Callithrix jacchus: one gene and its partner. The protein of the gene in region 2 interacts with the protein of the main gene of each other region in a pairwise test. Links are inferred from orthologs where the notes say so. Each region holds a gene or a part of one and is shown on either strand. Other genes may lie near its edges.

What was found.
Region 1: the proteins of LRP1 (region 2) and MAPK8IP1 interact in a two-hybrid assay, tested with the Homo sapiens proteins (2 studies listed by BioGRID). The link is inferred for Callithrix jacchus from reciprocal best matches to the Homo sapiens genes LRP1 and MAPK8IP1.

The regions. Positions count from the first base shown.
Region 1 is NC_133511.1:110,923,397-110,927,201, reverse strand, and holds part of MAPK8IP1 (C-Jun-amino-terminal kinase-interacting protein 1), read right to left. Parts: intron 1,978-3,805; coding exon 1,657-1,977; intron 160-1,656; coding exon 78-159; intron 1-77. UniProt on the Homo sapiens protein: The JNK-interacting protein (JIP) group of scaffold proteins selectively mediates JNK signaling by aggregating specific components of the MAPK cascade to form a functional JNK signaling module. Required for JNK activation in response to excitotoxic stress.
Region 2 is NC_133510.1:62,493,161-62,496,568, forward strand, and holds the end of LRP1 (prolow-density lipoprotein receptor-related protein 1), read right to left. Parts: coding exon 3,366-3,408; intron 3,133-3,365; coding exon 2,971-3,132; intron 2,698-2,970; coding exon 2,523-2,697; intron 2,392-2,522; coding exon 2,290-2,391; intron 2,130-2,289; coding exon 2,065-2,129; intron 1,954-2,064; coding exon 1,863-1,953; intron 1,761-1,862; coding exon 1,616-1,760; intron 1,465-1,615; coding exon 1,324-1,464; 3' UTR 648-1,323; downstream 1-647. UniProt on the Homo sapiens protein: Endocytic receptor involved in endocytosis and in phagocytosis of apoptotic cells. Required for early embryonic development. Involved in cellular lipid homeostasis.

The DNA of each region.
Region 1 (3,805 bases), on a different chromosome or scaffold from region 2:
TGTGGGGTTTGTTCTCTGCAGTGGGGTTTGAGTCAGGGCAGGGTGAGGTCCAGGTAAGGAAGAGGGCCCTGACTTACCTGTCTTCAGGGGTGAGGATGATCGAGACACCCGATCCTGCCAACTGTGCTTTTTGCCCAGAGAATTATTATTCAGTGTGTCCTGTTCGGGGAACAAAAGGCTCTTGTGATGGAAGTGGTCAGCAGTGCCGGGCACAGGGAGGCCCCGGCCCTGCCCCCTCAGGCCATCCCTAGGGCGTCTGCTATGCCCATCCCGCCTCCACTGTCAAAGGCCTCACTCCCAACTCCCCTCTGGAGCAGGCAGCAGGGGTGGCAAGTCACAGCCAGGCCTGCTGGCTCCGGATGGCCCTCCGCCTTGCTCAGGGAAGCTGGCCAACCCTCAGGGAGATGTTCTTATCAGCTTTAACAAAGATGGCAATGGCCAGTGTGTGTGGTTCGGCAAGAGGAGGAGACTGGGGGGGGAGAAGAGAAGTGGTAGCTCTTTGGAGACACAGTAAGACCCCCAGTTCCAGACACTGAGGGTTACTTGGCAAAAGCTCAAATCCAGCCCAAGTCAGAGACAGGTAATTCTCTGCTCTGGAGCTTGCGAAGTTATGGCCTAGAAGGGGTGGGGACCTGGAAAAAGCACAAGGAAGGGTCTCCCCAGCAGCTGGCCTGGGGGACTGGGATGAACTATCCCAGTGACAAATCCATAACAGAGTTTTCCTGCACCTGCCCCCCCCCCCACAGTGGCACGTGACTGAGGAGTGACAGAGGCAGTTGTCAGCAGCCCTCCTTCCTGGATCTCCTGGGCTGCCCATTCCACATTCTCAGCCCCAGGACCCTCCCCACAATGCCCACACAGGGCTCCCTCCACTCCACCAAGGCTCTCTCCCCTGGGAGTGCTCTCGCAAGCCCTCACGTTCCTGAACTGGATTGCCAAAAGCCATTCACAGGATCCTGGGAAAGGGACCAAGCCTTTCCCTGCCACCCCACTTCCCAGAAGCAACTTCCCTGCACTGCTCCCAATGGTTCTGGAAGACAAAAGGCCACAGCCGGCTCCCCCAACCCTATTCAACTCTCCTTGGCATCTGGCCACCCTCCCAGGGGCCCTAGGCCCCCAACTCAGCCAAACAGCTCCATCCCCCATTCCTCTCCCCTGCCTTCTGGGAATTCCCAGCTGCCCAGATCTCAAACTGGCTGTGGCTCCTGAGTTCCCTGTCCCCACCTCTCCACAATCTTCCATGGCATCCCCCTTGCTGACCATTTCAGATGCCCTTTTCTCCAGGCCCTGCTCCTGACCCACTTTCACCAGGAACCACATACCCTAAAGGAGAAACCCTGTCACAGCCTGAGGTTCCACGCTTCAAACCCAACCCCTCAAAGCTCTGTTCTCTTAATTCCCTACTCCTAACTCCAGTCCTTCCCTCCTCCAATCCCTCCTCAAGGTTCTAAGCCCAGCATGAACTCAGCCCTCTTCCTAAGGACGGACCTGCCTGCTCCTCAGAGCCCACCCCCGGGAGGGAGCCACTGCGGCCTCTATGCAGGCGCTGTCCCCAGGCACCGGACCCGAGGGTGCCCCTCCCGCTGCAGCCCCTCGGCGCTCCCCCTCACATCTCCGGCGCCCCAGGGCACCGCCCCCTCCGTTTTGGCGCCTCACCTGAGACCGCGGCACCTGCGGAAAGAGGTTGAGCGTAGTGGGCCGCTTGGGCCGGTACGTGTCCCCGCTGCCTGGGCCCAGTCCCTGGCCCTGGCTCTGGCCCTGGCCCTGGCCACGGGACACTGGCTCCTGGCTGGACTCGGCCTTGGGCGGCCCCGCTCCCGACCTCCGGGCTGCGCGCTCCTCGTCGTCGTCCTCCTCGTCATCCTCGGCCCCGGGAGTGTCCCCTGCCGCGTCGATCAGGTCCATCTGCAGCATCTCGGCCTGCAGCCGGCTCCCCGCACTGCCGCCGCCCGCAGACAGCAGCCCGGCGCGCGGGGGCTGCGTGGTGCACGGAGGGGCGTCAGGGGGCGGGGAATGGGCGGGGCAGAGGCTGCTTGCACCGCCCCCCGCCCGGGCGAGTCCATTCCGTGGCGCGAAGGGGGAACGAAGGGAGCGGAGCGGGGGGGCCGCCAGAGACAGGGGCGCTCTCGCCTGCCCCCAACAAGGAAGCTCAAAGCCGCCTCCTCCCAACTCCAGCCATGCCTCTGACGGCCTGCACCCCCACTACTGTCCCCACTCCGACTCCTTGCACCCTCCCGTTCCCTTGGCAACGGCCGGTGACCTCACCGGGGTTGTAAGCCGAGCCCAGAGTGAAGTCACCGCTGTTGCTATGGGGACTCAGTAGTCGCCAAGGAGTTCCAGGCCCCCCAAGGGATGGGGGCGGGAGAAATAGTATTTGAAGGGGCGGTAAGGAAAACTGGTTAAACTGAGGCTCAGCCAGGCAAGGAACCGTGGAGACCTGAGAGGGCCGGGAAGAGGACGCGGAGAGGAAGGGGCGAGCGGGGCCCCGGAACCAAGGTGGTGGTAGCCCTGCCCTCAGTCCGCCGGCCCAGGCCCCTCCAGCCCGAGATCGGCCCTCCGCGAGCCTGCCTTGAGGGTGCGAAGCCCCATCCTAGCTCCAGTTCTGCCGCCAACTCCTGGCACCTTGGACAGATCCCCTGGCCCTTCAGACCCCCTCATCAGTTGAGTGGAGAAAACACTACTGCCTCCCAGCCTTCAAGAAAGCAGAGGACTCACTGGAACGCGTGTGAAGCCCGCTGGAGCTCATCTGCGGCCCCTCAGGGACACACCTCTGGCCAGTAGTGCCTGGGGGCCCTGCCTAGCTAGGGGGCTGCCCTCTCCAAGGCTCTGATAGTGCAGTTGGGGAGAGGGCAGGGTGAGAGTCCAGAACAGGTGCCTGAACTTTAAGAAGCTAAGTCAGGGCCCTGAGACCATTCCCCAAATCTGGAGGCCTCTGCCTCTTCCTCATCTGGCCGGAGGGTGGAAGGTTGGGGTACAGGGGGCCGGGGGTTATCCTCACTCCTTGGTTTCCTCTTGCCTGGCAGAGCTTACTGAGTCTCTGGGGGTAGCAGGAGGTCAACAAAGAGAGAGGCACCCCCTCCCCAAGGCACACCACATGCTCCTACGGTAACCACTCTCCCGACACCATATCTAGCTACCTACACTCTTAGGGGCTGAGAGGAGCTCTGGGCTCTAAAACCTAGCCCTGTGTTCTGTCTTCCATTTCCTGGCTAGCCAATCCTTCTTCCTGTTCTAAAAAGACATAGCAGGGATCCCCATCTGACCCCAGCTCTCCAGGTGCCAGAAACCTCCTGGCAGCATTCAGATCATTAGGGACAGGAGAGAGCCATCTTCCCTATGACAAAGCCAAGGGGCCCAACCAGTAGCAATGCTGGGTAAACCCCTCAGTGGGGGCCTTTAGGACTCAGGGGCCAAGGAAGGTCTGAGAGGTAGTGTGGTGCCATCTGTCTGGTGTAATAGCAGCCGGCAGCCATGGGAGTTATTCCAGGGGTGTCTTGGCGGTTTCTTCCTGCCCCAGAGCACTGCGGATTCCACCAGACTCCACCCTGTCTGCCTCAGGCCCTCTGCCAGGGCGGCTCCCAAAAGGATTTAGGGTAGCCCTGAGTCTCCCTTAAGTCTGGCCCTAATTGTTACTACCCTAGGTCTCAAGAGCTCCTGGCTTCTCTCGTCTTGTGGGCAGTTGAAGGAGCTACTTCCTGTCTTAGTCTCTGGAAGCAGTAACAATAATAATAAATAAAATTCTGATTGTACACCCGAGACATGCCAAGCAGTATACCTATGTTTCTTGCACCATCATTTCATGAGG
Region 2 (3,408 bases):
TCCTTCATCCCAGGAGACCCCTGGGCTCTGGAATGCAGCATTGTACTTCACATCTGATTCATTCGTCTCCACAAATGTCAGTGCTTCAAGAGCAAATGCAGGCAGAGAGAATCGCACGGGAGCACCCTGAAGGATAGGAAAGCCTTCTCAGCCTCAATGTAGTCACTTCTTATAGTGGAGCTTCTCACTGTGGGAGATCATTTTGGGTAGGGGGGTGGTGTCCAGTAGAGGTGAATGCAGAGAAACAGATCTAAGTTAGCATCCTAGAGCTAGAAGGAACACACGATCCAGAGACTCGAAGTCACAGCTGAAGGTCACACAGCCAGGAGAAGCAGATCTTCCTTGTCAAGTCCAGTGCCACCCGCTTCCCGGGCACAGCAAGATGGAGAGGGAAGGGCACTGAAAACTAGCTCGTCTGCCTCCAGCACGGAGCAGGTCTCCCTCTGGTGGCCAAAGCGGCAAGTGCAGCCCCAGCTCCCAGCGTCTCCCACACACAGGCAGACACCAGTGGCTTTTTTTTTCTTTCTTTTTTTTTTTTGGCTTTTTTTTTTACAATTTTATTTATAACAATATCTGTGTTATTTAGTTGTAAAGGAATTCAGCAAAAATTATTAAAACGTTCACGTCCCCAAAACGGGGCTGCCCACTTGCCCTTCCTCGGTGTGGCCCATCTCCTCGGCATCCCCAGGAGAGGGGAGGTTGGGGGAATGTTTACCAGAGGAAGTCTCCAGCCCTGGGAACCTCAGTGGGGGCCCTGGAGATGGGGAGGGCCTGTCTGAGAGGGGGACTGAGCATGGCCATCTCATAGGGGCCCCTGGAGTCGGGGCTGGGATTTGGGGTGGCCTTCCCCAAGAACTAAAACACTCCATCCTTTCCTGCCCACCTCAGCCAGAGCCACAGCTTCCAGACAGGGGCAGCAAAGAACTCTCCCTCCCCAGAATTAGCCCTCAGGGAGCTGTGGGAGCAGGTAAGCAGGAGTAGGGGAGAGCCTTTGCAAAGTGTCTTATACAGTGAGGGGTCAGCAGTCCCCGCTCTCCCAGTGGGGTGCGTTCTGGTGGGAGGGTGGAAGTGCAGCCCCAAGCCCTCCCTGCCTGCCTCCCTGAAGGCAGGATGGGGGTGTCGAGGAGCAGGCAGGGAGGGGATGGAGAGTTAATACTGTGCTCGCTTGCTGGCTTGCTCGCTCACATATAAAACGTAATTCCTTCATTTTTACATTTATACATCCAGCGGGGCCGGGGAGGGGCTTGCTGGGGAGGGGCTCGCTGAAGGACTTCTCTGGAGGGGGCAGGAGGCTCTCTGGGGGGAGTCCGACGGGGCAGGGCCCTATGCCAAGGGGTCCCCTATCTCGTCCTCAGGGCCCCGGCCCAGGAGTTCTCGCTTCTCATCCGTGCTGGCCAAGGAGTGGCGACTGCCGTGGCCGCCCATGTAGAGTGTGGCATACACGGGGTTGGTGAAGTTGGTGGGCTGCAGGGTGACAGGGTTCAGGTGGGGCTCAGCGGCTGGCCTGTGGCCCAAATCACCTCACCCCCTCCTCCGCCCCCTCACCTAACCCAACACCTTTGGTTAGGCCACCTACCGCCTCATGGCCCTCCACCCTGCCTGCCTCCCAGCCCACCTTGTCAGGGTCCAGGGCAAAGTCGGCATCCAGGAGGCCTCCCACGTCATCAGGCTCTCCGCCCTCATACATCTTGTAGGTGGGGTTCCCAATCTCCACGTTCATGGCCCCGTTGGTCATCCGCTGGTGTTGGAAGCCCTTAGCCCTGATGAGAGGTAGGAGGATAAGGAGACAGAGATTATTGGGGGTTGGCATTATTACAGGATGGCAACAATGGCCAGAACGTTCCAGATTGCCTGTGACTCACCCTTGGACTCGCCGCTTATACCAGAATACCACTCCGGCCACCAGAAGCAGCAGCAGCAGCAACAGCAGAGGGATGAGAATGGAGGCCATATCTGGAGGGAAGAGGTGGGATACTGAGTCACCAAGGCTCAGGGAAGCAGGAGGCACACGGTCCCCCTGATCTAGGTTCCGGCGGCCCTGCCTGCCCCACCCCTGCCACCTACGTCCTGGCTGCTGCTGGCTGAAGACATGCTCCTCACACCGGGGCCCTGTCATGTGGGGCGGGCACCTGCAGAAAGGAGGGACATGGCTGAGTAGGCATAACTTCCATAGCCACTGCTGCCAGGGAGACAGGGCATGGAGGGTGGGCGCTGAGGCCCGGCAGTCCTGCTCAGATCTGGGGAAGGGAGGGATGCTCTATGCCTGGGTGAAGCCCAGGCCCAACTCACTGGCACTCAGGCATCATTTTGCTGTTCATGGTGCAGGAGCCGCCATTGCTGCAGTGGCCAACACAGGTGAGACAGCTGGGGGCCACCCGGCCGTCTGTGCAGCTGTAGGAGGAAATCAGAGGCTGGGGCTGGGGCTGGCAGAGGTGTGTGTGGGATGCTGAGGAAGGGCTGGGCAGGACTGGGACAGGGCAGGGGCCGGGCGGGGTGGACCTGTGGAGGAGAGCCCCACTCACTTGCAGGTGACATCCCCACTCTGCTTATTGACAACACAGGCTCCTTCAAGACAGCGGCTGCACTTGTTCACCTCACACCTCGGCCCCTCGAAGTAGGCAGTGCAGCGGCATTGTCGGGAGCCATCGGCGGCCATCTGGCAGGTGCCAAAGTTCTCACAGTAGCCAGAGCACTGCCCTGTGGTTGGCAAGGGAGAGGAAGTCAGGCCCCACCCTCATACGGGTTCTATATACGTTGAGCACAGCTTTTCTCTCTGGATAATCCTGGTGCTGGGGGTGCACTGCATCTTTGTGGGGAAGCGCCAGCCACATGGGCCTGGCTCAGCTGCAAAAGGCCTGCCTTCCTGAACTGGCCCCTGTGGGTCCCAGGCACAGGTGGACCATTACCCCATGCTCTGGGGTCCTCCGTCACCCTCCTGCCTGCCTTGGGGCCCAGGGATGGCTCACTCACGGTACTGGCAGCGGTCGCCCAGGAAGCCAGGTAGGCATCGGCACTGGGGCTGGTTGCCCTGGTTGACGGTGCAGGTGCTGTTGTTGGCACAGTAGCCTGCACACACCTGCTGGGTGCATTTGGGGCCCGTGAAGCCCGTGGGGCACCGGCACGTGGGCATGCCTGGTGGGAGAAAATATGTGAGTGGGACTGTGGCCCTCGGGATCACCTGGCCCTACAGCAGAAGAATGGATTGGACCCGGGCGGGAGGCAGAGTCCGGAGTGCCTGGACGCTGGGTTGTGGAGAGGAGACTAGAGGTGAGGCAGGAGCTGGGCATCTGCCTGAGGTGGGGCAGCGGGTGGTGGGGCTGGGGCCCAGGGGCAAGGAGCAGGCTTGGCGGCATGAGGGGGCATACCAGAGGGGGAGGCAGCGCAGGTGCCCCCATTACGACAGTGCTC